2 linked regions of the Caenorhabditis elegans genome follow. The protein of the gene in region 1 purifies or fractionates together with the protein of each later gene. This does not show direct contact. Each region holds a gene or a part of one and is shown on either strand. Other genes may lie near its edges. The genes, in order: hsp-75 and dnj-30.

The links.
Region 2: the proteins of hsp-75 (region 1) and dnj-30 fractionate together in Caenorhabditis elegans (co-fractionation; one large-scale study listed by BioGRID). This does not show direct contact.

The regions. Positions count from the first base shown.
Region 1 is NC_003281.10:7,221,707-7,229,061, forward strand, and holds hsp-75 (Histidine kinase/HSP90-like ATPase domain-containing protein), read right to left. Parts: upstream 5,002-7,355; coding exon 4,801-5,001; intron 4,484-4,800; coding exon 4,256-4,483; intron 4,203-4,255; coding exon 3,817-4,202; intron 3,767-3,816; coding exon 3,548-3,766; intron 3,502-3,547; coding exon 3,136-3,501; intron 3,084-3,135; coding exon 2,887-3,083; intron 2,777-2,886; coding exon 2,693-2,776; intron 2,585-2,692; coding exon 2,373-2,584; intron 1,773-2,372; coding exon 1,647-1,772; 3' UTR 1,527-1,646; downstream 1-1,526. Other genes in the region: der-2 (Derlin-2), read right to left, coding at 329-525, 622-820, 1,024-1,254, 1,337-1,423; R151.8 (Myb-like domain-containing protein), read right to left, coding at 5,263-5,464, 5,512-5,612, 5,663-6,197, 6,468-6,634, 6,686-6,807, 6,853-7,236, 7,286-7,355.
Region 2 is NC_003279.8:2,716,836-2,724,111, reverse strand, and holds dnj-30 (J domain-containing protein), read left to right. Parts: upstream 1-2,636; 5' UTR 2,637-2,642; coding exon 2,643-2,672; intron 2,673-3,121; coding exon 3,122-3,442; intron 3,443-4,844; coding exon 4,845-5,008; intron 5,009-5,782; coding exon 5,783-5,984; 3' UTR 5,985-6,085; downstream 6,086-7,276. Other genes in the region: Y71F9B.6 (Cyclin N-terminal domain-containing protein), read left to right, coding at 1-385, 1,348-1,593; lin-17 (Frizzled-4), read right to left, coding at 6,757-6,882.

The sequences.
Region 1 (7,355 bases):
ATTTCTTTCTTGTGGAGAAATTCGATGCGTGGCTAGTTAATGAGCATTTACTAAACGAGAACTTACACCATCCCGCTTATGAGAAAATAACTTACATAAAATAGGGAATCAAACTGTGCACTTTGAAAGGCAAGAAATATCTTTGGAACATAGAATTGCGAGAGAATATTCACAGAAAACGTAGAATGATGGAAGGACAACCGATAGAGACCCACGAGTGAATTCAAAAATTAAGAGCAGAGAAAATAATAATTAGGTAATATGAGAAAATTATACGTTCAGTCGCGAAATAGATGTCTAACTTCAAAAATACTAAAACATTGTATAATTAATCATGTTGTTCTTGTTCCGGTTGCTCATCACCCCATTCAAATCCACCGGGTCTTTCATCTTCAGGCAGAGGTTCCGGTCGGCGTTCATCAAACAAATATACAAGCCACTGTGGAGTTTTCAGGAATCGTTTTCCGTGCTCTTGGAATGGGAAAACATCTTCCAAGAAGAAATATATATGTCCACATGCAATTCCTGGAACAATAATTCAACTTTTAAACGAAAATGTATAATCTTTTGCAACATTAAAGATTATGACAATATAAAACAATTATTCATGAAATGCCTTACCCATAAAATCAACGACAGCATTATTTCCGAGTAAAAGTGAGAAAAGAAGAAGAACCCATGGAAGATACGGAGCTGTGAATGTTAAAACACCAAAGAAGTTCATTTGAATCATTGGGTTACGACGGCTCCATATGTAGACCAACATAATAGTGAATGCTTGTCCAAGAAATAGAATTTGTACAAAGATTCCGGATAGAATCTGAAAAATAAGAAACATTTCAATATTTTCAAAGAAAATGGATAAGTTTGAAAAATTGCTAAATATTTCATCAGTTAAAAAAAATATGTTAAAATTCAAATACTTTCACCTTCACTAGATCATCGAAAAAATAATTAATATTCTAACATAAATAGACTTATTTTCTTATTATATCCAAAACAAGTAAAAACTCATAGAATTACCATTAGAACGGCTCCAAAAAGGAACATGTATACAAAATCAGCTCTTCTTCCACGGAACGATCCTTCTTCCAGCATCATACAATATCGATATGTGAAGATCATATTGAAAAGAAAAGAAAATCCAAAAGATCCGAAAAAGCAGAATGATGTGATCAGGCGCCAGAATTGATATTTTCGGATAATCAACTCCCAGTTGAAGTATAAATGGAATGGTGTCACGAATTCCAAATGCTGTAACATTTTTTGTACAATTTGGGTAGAGACAGTTTTTTTTTCAAAATATAAATTTTTATGTTTCTTTTAAAAAACTTACCACAGCGGTTGTCAATAGCACGCAGGCTCCTGTGTAGAACCGAGTTACCGGTGGCATTTCTTCCAGAGCAGCAACTACTCCATTCATCTGAAACTACTGCTTGTAAAAAAACTATTAACCTAAAAGATAAATTAGAAAATAATCTGAATTGGTTGGAAACCAAATCTAGCTAATTTGAAAAAATCGAGAATAAAAATCAACGAATGTATGGGAAAAGGCACAGGTTCAACAGATCAAAAACACAAAAAAGGAATAAGTTATTATGATATCTATCCTAAAACTACAATAAAAACAAAAATAAATGTGGAAATTATGGCGTCAAAATGGTGCTTGTACCCTTATTTCCAGCCAAGGAAGTCAATAATTTGTTCAATCTTCCGACCATTCGGCTTGTATCTTTAATCAATCCAGCTGTGATTAGAGCATTGTCATAAATCTGAAAAAAAAATTTCAGGAAAAGACACAAGAATATGAGAGAGAGCACAGAGAAAACATAGAAACCATAACTGTGGTGTATGTACATAATAAATACACGTCAACAAACGGGAAGTTTTTTGAAAAATTTCCCAATTTTCGCAAACTGATTATTTTGTGATAGATTTGAAATTTAACTCAACTTTGATAAAGGATATTTTAAAAAAGCAAAAGTTTGCGATTAACCTTATTATTAGCCACACGCGAAAATTTGAGCCAAAAATATGGTACCAGGTCTTAACACGAATTTATTTTGCTATATATGAAAACGTGTGCTCCTTTAAAGAGTACTGTAATTCCAAACTTTTGTTGCTGCGGAATATTGATAAATTTTTCAGTTTTTTGAAGAAAATTTAATCAAAACTCCAATATAAGAATATACATAGTACACAAATTTTAACCAAAAACTAGGAAAAAGCGATAAAAATTCCGCAACGACGAAAATTTGAAATTACAGTACTCTTTAAAGGCTCACACTTGTCCGCATTAAAAAAAAACTTGTGGTGAAACCGGGTACCCGGGTATACCCTTTTTTAACGAAATTTTTCTTTTAAAACCTCACCTGCTCAGCCAAAATAGCCGCGGTTTCCTTATCTGTTTTTCTCATTTTGTACATTGCCTTGACCAATGGATGTGTTAAATTAACATGAACATGTGGTTTGAAGTACACTAAATGCTCCATATCCTTGATTTCTCCGGTTCTCAAGAAATGACGAGCCGCTCCCATATCGAGCACAGTCACCATGACTGGATGCTCACTCGGACGATGGTTGCCTAGAAACAATATTATTAATAAGCATAGCTTTCTACGCGTTTCGGGACATTATGACATTTTGAAATTAGTTTTTTTGGTTGTGAAAATTCGCTTAGAAAAAAACTTACCAGAAATTTCAGAAACTCGAACACTTCCAAGTGTTTCTTTCATCCAATCGAGGAGCTCTTTCTTCTCATTATCTCGGAAATCTTCTGAATAAATAACTTATTGAGTTTGAATTGGAGTTTTTTCTTTCGTTTTTTCCATGAACAGTAAAAACTTCTAAATTCAAAAAAATTCTTAAAAAATTAGTGAAACTGACTAGTATCCTTCTTATCATCAGTTCCAGTCTTTTCAGCTTCTTCTTGAGCCCACTTTTCAACTGGAACTAATTGTTTCATTCCAAACTGCCCAAGACCCAAGAACACAACTTCGTCGGCTGGATCATAAAGAAACAGAACTTCCTTATTTTGTGACTTGATGACTTCATAATAAGGAGATGATTCAGCTAGTTGACGGCTGAAAATTGACAAACTCATTGATTTTCATTAAACTTTCAAGAAAAACGTACTTGTTAGCATACATATAGTAGATCTCTTTCTGTCCTTCTTGCATTCTCTTTACATAATCTCCAAGACTTGTTAGTTCTCCAGCCTTCTTTGAAGAAGACTCAAATAATAACAACTTTGCAACATCCTCCTTCACTCCTTGATCTTGTTCAGTTACAACTCCTTCTTTGAAATACAAGGAATAGTTTTTGAAGAATTCCGAGTACTTCACAGGATCTTTTTTCATTTCCGATTGAAGACTGCCCAAGATTTTGTCGGTGATAATTTTACGAAGTTTACGGAGAACTGGATTATTTTGCAGCATTTCACGGGATAAATTCAGAGGAATGTCCTCCGAATCGACAACTCCAATCACAAAACGAAGATAACTACAAATACTCGAGTTTCAGAGGTTTTAAATTTGAAAACTCTTACTTTGGAATCAACTCCTGGGCATCTGGCTTAATAAGAACTCGTCTTGCATAGAGTGAGAGTCCACACATCGTCTGTTGAGCCATGAACGTTAGCTGGTTGAATTGAGTCTGTGGAATGTAGATAACTGATCGAAGAGATACTGGAGTATCAGTTTGAAAATGAATTGTGTATTGTGGACGAGTATACATTTCTTGTTTTCCTTGCGTTTTCACGAGTTGTCTGGAAATATCAAATTTAATAATCTATAAAATAAAATTACATTAACTAACTTGAAGAATGTTTCATGCATTTCTTTGTTAACTTCTCTCGCCTGCATCGTCCAAATTGCATTCAAATTGTTCACTCTCTCTCCATTCACCAAAATTGGCGCAGAAACAAAATACGAATATTTATTGATAACTTCTTTGATTCTATCTTCTTCCGCATAGGTTGCCGAATCTCCAACTTTCAGTCTAATCTCAATTTTAGTTCCAGTTTGAAGCCCGGATGTTTCAGCAATTTCATACGAGTTGTCTCCATTCCATGTCCATTGAAGGCCATCGGCATCCGATGAACCAACTTTTCTAGTCGTGACAACAACGGAATCAGCAACCATAAAAGCTGAGTAGAATCCAACTCCGAATTGTCCAATAACTGCTTCAGCGTTTTCCTTGTTCTATAAATTAAAACAAATATGATTTTCATTGTTTTATCAGAATTTATCCTCACATTCTCAATGAAATCCTTCGATCCTGATTTTGCAATAGTTCCCAAAAACTTTACAAGATCCTCTCGATTCATTCCGATACCGGTATCCTCAAATGTGATTGTTCGTTTGTCTTTGTTAGTCGTGATTCGAATTTCACTTGGACCTTCTGCCACGTCACCTTTCAATTCTGCGTATCGTCTCTTCTCAAGAGCATCCGAAGCATTGGAAATGAGCTCGCGAACAAATACCTAAAACAAAAATTAAATACTTGTGGAATACATCAATTTCCTATATTTTTTGAGAATAAGGAAATATTCTGCCAATTTTTTTCGCGAAGTATACGGTATCCGGTCTCGACACGACAAACTTTGTTAAAGACAAAAAGGTGTGCGCCTTTAAAGAGTACTGTAATTTGAAATGTTCGTTTTTGCAGAATTTTTATCGCTTTTTTGAAGTTTTCGCACGATTTGTCAAAGTTCATGTCGAGACCGGGTACCGTACTTTTGACGCAAAATTCAAAAAATTTTGTGTCTGGGCTATATTGAACTTTTTAAAAAATATTTACCTCGCTGTGTGAATACAAGGATTTTGCGACAATGTCCATAAGATTCCGTGTCTCTGCTTGGAATTCATGTCTCTGTGGTTCAGAAGCCATCCATCTCCGTTGTGTTGGTACAGAAGGGGTGAAATGTGAAGCGGTGATGGGAGCTACGTATCTCATTGTTCGCATGATCCTGCCAGTTAACATCCGTACCGGGAGCGACATCTAATAAAATGATTTTTGGATCTGGAAAGGCAATAGGATGGAGATAATGATATTTGGAAAACAAACCAGTTCATAAAACAACTCTTGGCAGATATAAAACAGTATAAAAAAATTTTATGAAGCAAGAATCGAAATATTAAGGAATGCAAAAAGTAAAAACCTGAAATTCAATGGAAAATTGAGTGTAGTACAGAAAATGAATAATATGGAATATTTAAGAAAATACAATTCGTGAGATTCAATATCAGAAAGCAAAAAAAACTATTTTTTCTTCTTGGGCGTGGTCTTCTTCTTCTGAAAGTGCGATAGAATGTAATCCTGACTATCTTGCGATGAAGAAATCATATCGTGATATTTTTCGTGAACTTCATTAACTGAGAAATGCAGAGCCGGATTAGAAATTGTAGTCAGATCTCCGTGATTCGTAATATTCTGGTACATCATGTCGGTGAAGTCAATTGTTCTAAAAATCAGTTGTATTATTTGTTATCAAATTATTTCTTTACTTACGTGTTATTTCCTCCAGGAGTTTCCAAATGAGATGCATGTCGTGTCGATCCAGGTGACATTGATAGATCTCCACCGAAATATTGTTGCATAATGCTGTCTTTCTGAAAAATTAGAAGATTTTTTTACAATTCGATATTGTCTCATTGCATACCTTCGGAGTTGGATCTGGTGTACGTAGAGATGATAAAAATGCATCATTTCTTTTTCTTTGCAATTCAGGATCTGCACTTCGTTTTGTTGGAGAGAACACGACAGATGAGAAATCAGTTGGTCCTTGAGTACTTGTACTTGGTGAGTCAGAAGTTGCAGTGAGTTCTGATATTTTATGAGCATTTGATAGAAGTAGAGATTTCTTTTCCGAATATGTAGAGGTTCTTCTCGGAATTATTGTAGTTTTTGGTGCTGCGAACACTTGTTTCACCATAAGATCCTGAATCGCAGGAGCGGAACTTGACTCTCCGGGTGGCGGACGAATCAGTAGTTGAGGAGTAACTGTTGCAAGTACTGGATTCGTTGGTTTTCGTTTTGCTGGAGCAGTCTTCTTTCGAGTTGTCTTTTTAAGAAATGCGAGTTGACATGCAAAGTCTTCAGTTTCTTGTCGAACGATGTCGCTCACTGGATTGCCAGGAACATCCGAAGTAGTATCATCACATTTTTTCTTTTTCGAAGCTGACGAACTTGGTTCTCTGTAATGATATTTGGAACAACAGCTTTTTGGAACATCGAAAAATTTCGTTTTTTCGATATTTAGAAAAATATCTTAAATTTTTGTCATTTTTTTAGCAGCTATGTTTTTCATCAACATGATCAAAATTTGATGAAAAATTTAATTTTATTGTTAATTTACTAAATATTTTTTGATCTCTCGATGTTCCCAAAAATGTTAATTTTTTAATGACACTCTTGACTCGGATTGAAAATTGAAAATACTCGGATCGGAGGAAAAAGCGACTCACGAATCTGCCGTTGGTTTGTCTCTTTTTCTGGTCTTACTCGGCGCCAAACAATCTCCGTATCCTCTATTTAATAGATTAATCATTACTTTCCAGGGTTCAGATGCTTGAATAGGTTGGTTCTCGTTATGAACTTGATATCTTAATTGGATTGGATTTTTACGGCCACACTGAAAAATAGAACAAATAAAACTGATAATAAGAGTGTTAAATTAACTTACAACACAAAAAAGTTCCGCCACAATTGCATTTCGAACATTTTTAGAATTTATTCCTTCCGCAATAATTTCATCGGTTAACGTGAAAGGTCTTGGATAAGTTACAGTATGAGATGGTTTTGTTTCTGAAAAAACAATAAATGTTTTTGTCAACTGAATCATTAACTAACTGATATTAACATCCGTCGCCACTTTTATTCCAGTTACTTCTATTTTCTTAGCTTCCAGCTTCTCCTTACTCTCTTCTACATTCTTAATCAATTTGTTCATAGACAACGAGATGAACGGTGAATTTTCGGCCGATTGAACGCATAAACTCGCTATTTCACAAGAACTATCCGGCCATAAAGTGACTGAAATAGGGGTAGAATCTCCTGCCAATGACCATTTTTTGTGCAAAAACTCGAGAAGTTTTGTGATTCGATCGTTTGCATTGAGTTTAACACGAAGAAATGGATTCTGATTACGTTGTCTCATGAAAACATGGTCTCCATTGCTTGTTGGCTCGAGGTGAATGTAGAGATCATTTGGAACTTTATCACCTTTTTTGACGCCTTAAAACAATAATCTAAATAAAAACTAATTTCCAATCCATAAACTCACTGAAGTATCTGCAAAGTGCTGGGCAAGGTGGTGTTTTAATCGTTACCAATTTCCTACCAGCTCTGACGAC
Region 2 (7,276 bases), on another chromosome or scaffold:
TCCACAAGCCGTAAATCGAGATTCAAGCTATGAACGTGGAACTTCAATCGATGAAAAATGCGATTTAGACGCCAGCCGATCAGATGAACCATCATCAGAAGTCATCGATGAGTACGATCCGATCGCATTTTCCGAGTTGGGAATCGGAAAACGGACTGTAATCCGTCACGAGTGTTGCGTGGCAAGCACACTTCATTGTGAATCGGCGGAGAGGGCGAAACAAGTGATAAATGAGGATTTCGAGGCGAAATACCCAATGATTCATCTGACATTGAGCAAAATGAAGAGTTTGAAGCGAGAAATGGCAGAACTTGGGGTCTCGAATGGAATTGATGTGTATACGGTGGCAACTGCTTATGTGTACTTTGAGAAAATTATTCTTAAGGTTAGAAAGAACGAAATTGCAACGATTAAGCTTAAAAAGTGATTAAAAAGCTCAAAAATTGCGAAAATCTGAAGAAAAAACCTGATAATGGTTAAAGGGAGGCCGCATTTGGAGGTGGATGGGTCTCGCCGCGAATCTCGTTTAGCAATTAAGCTATGCGCCTTTAAGGTTACTGTAGGCAATTTTCAAACTTTTTAAATGCATTTTCTAGTCGATTTGAATCGAAAATCTTTTTTTTCCATTGAAAATCTAAATTTTTAGAGCGACTTTTAGCCCAAAAAGCTTTAATCTTAGTTTATAATCGACATAATGCAACAAAAAATAGAAAATAGCATAAATTACGTCTAAAAAATGATTTAAAAGCTTAAACTTTGAGAAACTGTCGGAAAATTCAAGAAAAAATCTGAAAATGGTTAAAGGGAGGCCACATTTGGAGGAGGATGGGTCTCGCCGCGAATCTCGTTGAGCAATTAAGCTATGCGCCTTTAAGGTTACTGTAGACAATTTTAAGTTTTTAAAACAGTTTCTAATCGATTTAAATCGAAAATCTTTTTTTCCAGAGAAAATCTAAATTTTTAGAGCGAATTTTAGGCCAAAAAACTTTAATTTTAGTTTATTATCGACATAATGCAACGAAAAATAGAAAATAGCATAAATTACGTCTAAAAAATTATTTAAAAGCTTAAACTTTGAGAAACTGTCGGAAAATTCAAGAAAAAATCTGAAAATGGTTACAGGGAGGCCACATTTGGAGGAGGATGGGTCTCGCCGCGAAATTTGTAAAGCAATTAGGGTATGCGCCTTTAAGGTTACTGTAGGCAATTTTAAAAATTTTAAAATATTTTATAGTCGATTTTAAGCTAAAATCAGTTTATAATTATTATCAAAGCTGGTTTTTTTTTAAATTTCAATTTTTTTGAGATTTTCATATCTATTTAAATCTAAAATCAATTTTTTTCCAGGGTCTAATCTCAAAAGTCAATCGAAAATGTGTCGCCGGAGCCGCTCTCCTCGTCGCCCTTAAAATGAATGATTACAAGAAGTCTACGATCAAATCGTACATCGAACAGGCCGAAGATCAGCTCCGCGAGCCGAAATCCGATCTTTTGGCTTATGAGCTTCCAATTTGCTCGGTGCTCCAGTTCAGGCTTCAGCCAACAATTGATGAGATTCAACCACATGTAGATAGATTGCAATTTGAGATGTGAAATATTGTTATTATGTAAACGCAGAAAAATGTGCTTTTTTGAAATCGTGGTGCAAGCGCGCTCCACGGATAATAGTTGGGTCTCCTTAAAGGTGGACTACGCTCAGTGGAGAAATTGCTTTAAAACACGCCTATGGGGCCACAATGACCGAATATCATGATATAAAAATTCAAAAAAATTTTCTAGATTTTATATAATTTTTTGAAAATTGGAAAAATAACAGTTTTCACCTAATTATTTTTGAATTTCCACCAATCGGATTCGTTCGATTGAGCGCGCTTGCATTATTTTTATTAATTAATTTTATTTATTCTCGTTATTTGACTGATTTTCTTCATTTTCTATGTTTTTTCCTCGGAAAATGAAAGAAATAAAAAAGACAAACGCAAAATGTTTGTTAAAAAGTAATTGAAAATGAGTAAAACTGTGAATATACTAATTTCAGGCTTGTTGTCGTCGGAACTCAGAATATCAGAGTTTTAATCATTTTCAATTCAAAAATAATTGGTTGAAAACTGTGATTTTTTCAATTTTCAAAAAATCATAAAATCTAGAAAATTTTTTTGAATTTTTTTATCATGATATTCTGTCATTGTGGCCCCATGGGCATGTTTTAAAGCAATTTCCCCACTGAGCGTAGTCCACCTTTAAGTATTGGCGAGAAAACCGTAATTTCAAAAGTTTTCAATGATTTTTCGTTGGTTTCGAGGTGAAAATCATCGAAAATTGTTAAAAATATTTAGATTTGGCCGCCATTTCTAACGAGACCCAACTTTTAGCAGAGGAGCGCGTTTGCAACTTGGTTTTAAAATACGGATTTTTCCGCGTTTAAATAATATGCAATTAGTTTTTATGTACTCAATCCATGACCCTTTTGAGATTATTTCTAGTCGACATTTTTCAAATTTAATAAATTTGGTTTTTTTTCCCTTATTTTTTCTTCAGATTTTCGATTTTTTTGCGTTGAATGTCGCTATTGTCTATATATTTTTTTCCTTAATATTTTTCCTAAAATCTAATTTTAAAAAAAAAATTTTTTCCAGCAAAAAATGTCCCAGTTTGAGTCATTTTATCAGGATGTAAGTTTTTTTTTTCAAAAAATTTGAAAAAAGTGTACATTTCTTGGTTTTTCTGGAATGTTTCGAATTTTCAGACAGTTTTCCGCGAAAAAATATTAATTTTATGTGGAAATATCGATTTTAGGGCCAATTTTGAAGTTTTAGCGAGTTTTTTCAGCTGGCTATCAATTATAAAACTATAAAAAAAATAAAATTTCGCCAAAACTTTGAAATTGGCTTCAAAATCGCGAATTCCAAATAAAATTTTTATTTTTTAAAGAAAACTTGGCTGAAATTTTTAAAAATCCAAAGAAAAACCACAAAATATGGCCAGAAAATGCGCGGGAATTCAAAAATAATTCTCAAAAATTTTTAAATTCAAGAGAAAAATTTGAAAAAAAACCAATTTTTTTTTGAAAAAGTTGAAAAAAACCATTAAAAATTTTAAAAACATTTTTAAATTTTTCCAGCTAAAATCCACGGAGCAACAGGACGCGGCTCTTACTTCTGAGCAACAAATCGAGCGACTTTTGAAGCCCGGTTCCACATATTTGAACCTTAACCCATATGAAGTGCTCCAAATCGATTTGGACACGGATATCGAGGCGGCTAAGAAGAAATACAAGAAGCTCTCACTACTTGTGCATCCGGATAAAAATCCAGATGATCGAGAACGTGCTGACAAAGCTTTTGATATTGTGAAGAAGGCGATTAAGCAAATGGAGGATCCGATTGAGTTGAATCGATGCAAAGATTGTTATACGGAGGGAAAAGCTCGGCTTGCTATTGTGGTACGGAGCAACTATGAAGATTTGCATGGAAATTCTGAGAAAATTTTTTAAAAAATTGGATTTTTCTGGAAAAAAAAAATGCCGAAATTTGGATTTTTTTTTTCGATTTTTTAATCAAAAAAAACGAAAGAAAAATCACAAAAATTCATCCCATTTTTCTCATTATTTTGTAGTTTTTCACTGAAAATCGAAAAATCCAAAAAAATTTTTTTTTAGAAAATGAACAAAAAAAATTCTAATTTATGTTGATGTGAAAATAAAATAGAAAAAGCCAAAAATTTGCAATTTTCGCAAAATATTTTTTGAACAAATCTGAAGACAATTATTTTTTATATTTTTTTTCTTCAAAAAATGAGGAAAAAAAACTAGAAAAAAACAAAATTACTGATATAAACCAAAAGCGTATTATTTTAAAAATAATTTTCCAAAAAATTGAAAAAAAGTAAATTATCAAAAATTTACTTTTTTAACGTTTTTTTGGAAAAAAATCGTTTTTTTCTTGATTATTTTGTGAAGAAAACGTAGTTTCGCAAAAAATTTCATATAATTCGGAAATTTTTCGTTTTTTTGTAAAAATTGTTTTTTTAAAATTCACTCGAAAATCCAAGACCACGAAAAAAATTAGTTTGTATCCTAAAAATTAAAAAAAAAAATTTTTGAAGCAAATTTTAATCAAAAAATTATGTTTCTTCGAAGAAAAATTGTAATTTTATACAAAAATTATGAAAAGTGAACGAAATTCGAGGGAATATATATATATATATAAAATTTTAAAAAATACATTTTTCAATTTTTTTGTTGAAAAAAACCAAAAAAAAACCACAATCCACAGTCTCCTCGTCATCGAAAGCGCACAAAAAACTGCTTACTGGCGCGTTTCGCGTTTTTGCTAGCGCATTTTGTGGATTTTCCGAAATTCAGAAATTACGCGGAAAATAGGCTAGAATTCCAAAATTACAGCCCCGCCTCTTTTGATAATTATCTTCAGGATGAAGAAGATGATCGCGAAGGTGGGTGACTTGAAATATACAAGAAAAATATGATTTCTTTAGAGAAACACCATTTTTACCGTTGATTTTTTAATATCCCTACTCCTCCTTCAGTTTTTGACCAAATTTTCTCTTTTAATGGTCTTTCATTTCATTTTGTGCTAATAAACAAATTTTAAGTTCGAAATCTGCGAAAAAATTCGTTTCAACGCTAAAAAACGACGAAGTTTATTTTTCAACACTAAAAAGATTCACTCCCTCCCCCGGCTGCGCCAAGGTGTGAGCAAGTGCGCCCCAGCCCAATTCGACGCCGAGGAGACTGTGCAATCCTACCTCCAAGATCGTTAACAAAAATCAAAAATTGTATATTTTTTTTCTCAAAAATTCATTTAAAAAAACCGAATTTCTTCCAGATGTCGGAGAAAAAGCGAAAATTGCGAAAAGATGGAAAAGAAGATGTGATTGAAGAAGATGATCCAGCTGGATACAAGAAAGCTCTGTGGATTACTGTAACAAAAGTGTTTGCTGATCGAGAGAAGAAGAGAAAGATGCTTGAAGAGAGGGCGAATGAGGAAAAGTACGGGAAATTGATAGTAAATTGGAGAAAAACCGAATTAGGATCAATTTCTAATTAGAAATTGAAAAAAATTGAAAAAATTGAAAAAAAATGGAATAGAAAAATCGGAAATAACAAAGAAAAATTGAGATAAAATCACAAAAATCCGAGTTTTCAGAAGAAACAAAAGAAGAAAAATTCCAATTTAAAAAAATTAATTTTGTAATTTTTTTGGTTTTTTGCTTAAAATCAAGTAAAAAATGTAAAACAATTTTTTAAAAATTAAAAAAAAAGTAAATTTGGCAATTTTACTGTTTCTTTTTTAAGAAAACTTTTTTAATTTTAAGAAAAATAAAATACAATTGATTTTTCAGATATTTATTTCAAAAAACTGAATAATTTTTAATAAAAAATGCAAAAATTGAACAGATATTAAGAAAAAAATTATTTAAAAAAAATTGAATTTGCCAAAAATTTCTGAAAATTTTCAGGTTTATTTATATCAAAACCATATATTTTTTGAAGTTTTCCTGAAAATCCTTGAAGAAAATAAGATAAATTGATAAAAATCCGACTTTTTTAAAAGAAAAATACAATAATTGGTAATTCTCATTTTCCAAAGCGGAAAACCTCAAAATTTCGGGTTAAAATATCTAAAATCTAGAATTTCTTGGGAAGTTTCGAATTTTGCTCTAAAAAATGTTGTATTAAAAATTACATTTTTCTGAAAACTCATTTGAAAACAATTTTTTGCATTCAAAAATTGCCTTTAAGAAAATCACAAAAATTTTTCAGACGCCGCTCAACTGAAGCGTTAGTCCAAGCAGCAGAGAAGCGTAAACTGGCCGAAGAATTCGCGAAAAACTACGAAGAATCTCGTGACGAACGTTCCGGAAGCTGGAGAAATTTCCAGGCGAAAAAGGCGAAAAAAGAGGATAAGGGAAAGACGTTGAAGGGTGCAGCATTCAAACCTCCGAAAGTTAAACTTCAGAAATAATTATTGATCTCTTTGAATTTTTCTATTTATTCTCATTCATTATATTCCCATCATTATTGTGTAAAATCTCAACAAGTTTTTGTAAAAAATTATTTTATTCGAATTTTTTTTGTAAAAAAACCATTAAAAACCTCCAAAAAATTACGAAAACTGGAAATTTTGAAGTTTTAATTTTTGTTTAAATTTAATTTCCGGATATTTTCAATTTTTTCCAAATTTATTTGAAAATTCAAAAAAAAACGATAAACCAAATTTAAAAGTAAAAAGTAAAACGTATTCCCATCATTAATACAAGAGTGGAATTGCCGTTCGGCAAATTTTTATCGGGAAATTGCCAGTATGCCGATTTGCCGAAAACTTCAGTTCCGGCAATTGGCCGATTTGCGGGAAATATTCATTTTCGGCAATTTTTCGATTTGCCAAAAATTTAAATTCGTGCAATTTGCCGGTTTGCCGGAAATATCAATTCGGGCAAATTGCCAATTTGCCGGAAATTTTGAATTCCGGCAAATTGCCGATTTGCCGGAAAAAAATCGTTTGCCGCCCACCTCTGCATTATTGTGTAAAATCTCAACAAGTTTTTTGTGAAAAATTTTTTATTATAGTTTCCTTGAAGAAAAAAAATTTCGGAAAAAGTAGAAAAAACCCGTAAATCAAAAGTAAAGAGAGAAGAAATGATGGTTGAATGCATTAAAAACAAACAAAAAATAATATAAAGATCATCGGTTTTGTCATGGGAAATTGGGATGAAATGGGCGCGGAAAAATCTCGCTCAGACGACCTTACTGGGTCTCCATGAATTCTGAGGATTCGTCGCCATTTGCATGTATACCGGTGGTTGTGGTGGCGGAGCAGTTGGTGGCTCGAGCAATGGACGTGTTGATGGCTCGATTGGGTTCTGAAAAATTTGCGAAATTTTTAAGTGAAAATTTTGGATTTTGCGCGTCAAGTTTGGTTCATTACGGAAGCAAAAAAATTCTGAGAATGCGTATTGCACAACATATCTGACGCGCAAAATATCTCGAAGCGAAAACTACAGTAAATCTTTAAATGACAACTGTAGCGCTTAAATGGACACAAGGGCTACAGTAATCATTTAAAGAATTACTGTAGTTTTCGCTTCGAGATATTTTGCGCGTCAAATGTGTTGTGCAATACGCATTCTCAGAATTTTGTATTTCTGTAATAATTGCTGTGTTTTTTTGGTTGCTTTCAAAAAGAAAAGCTTTTTTAAAAGGAATTTCTCAATTTAAAATTTTCTTTTTTTTGCGAAAAATACTCACCTTAGATTG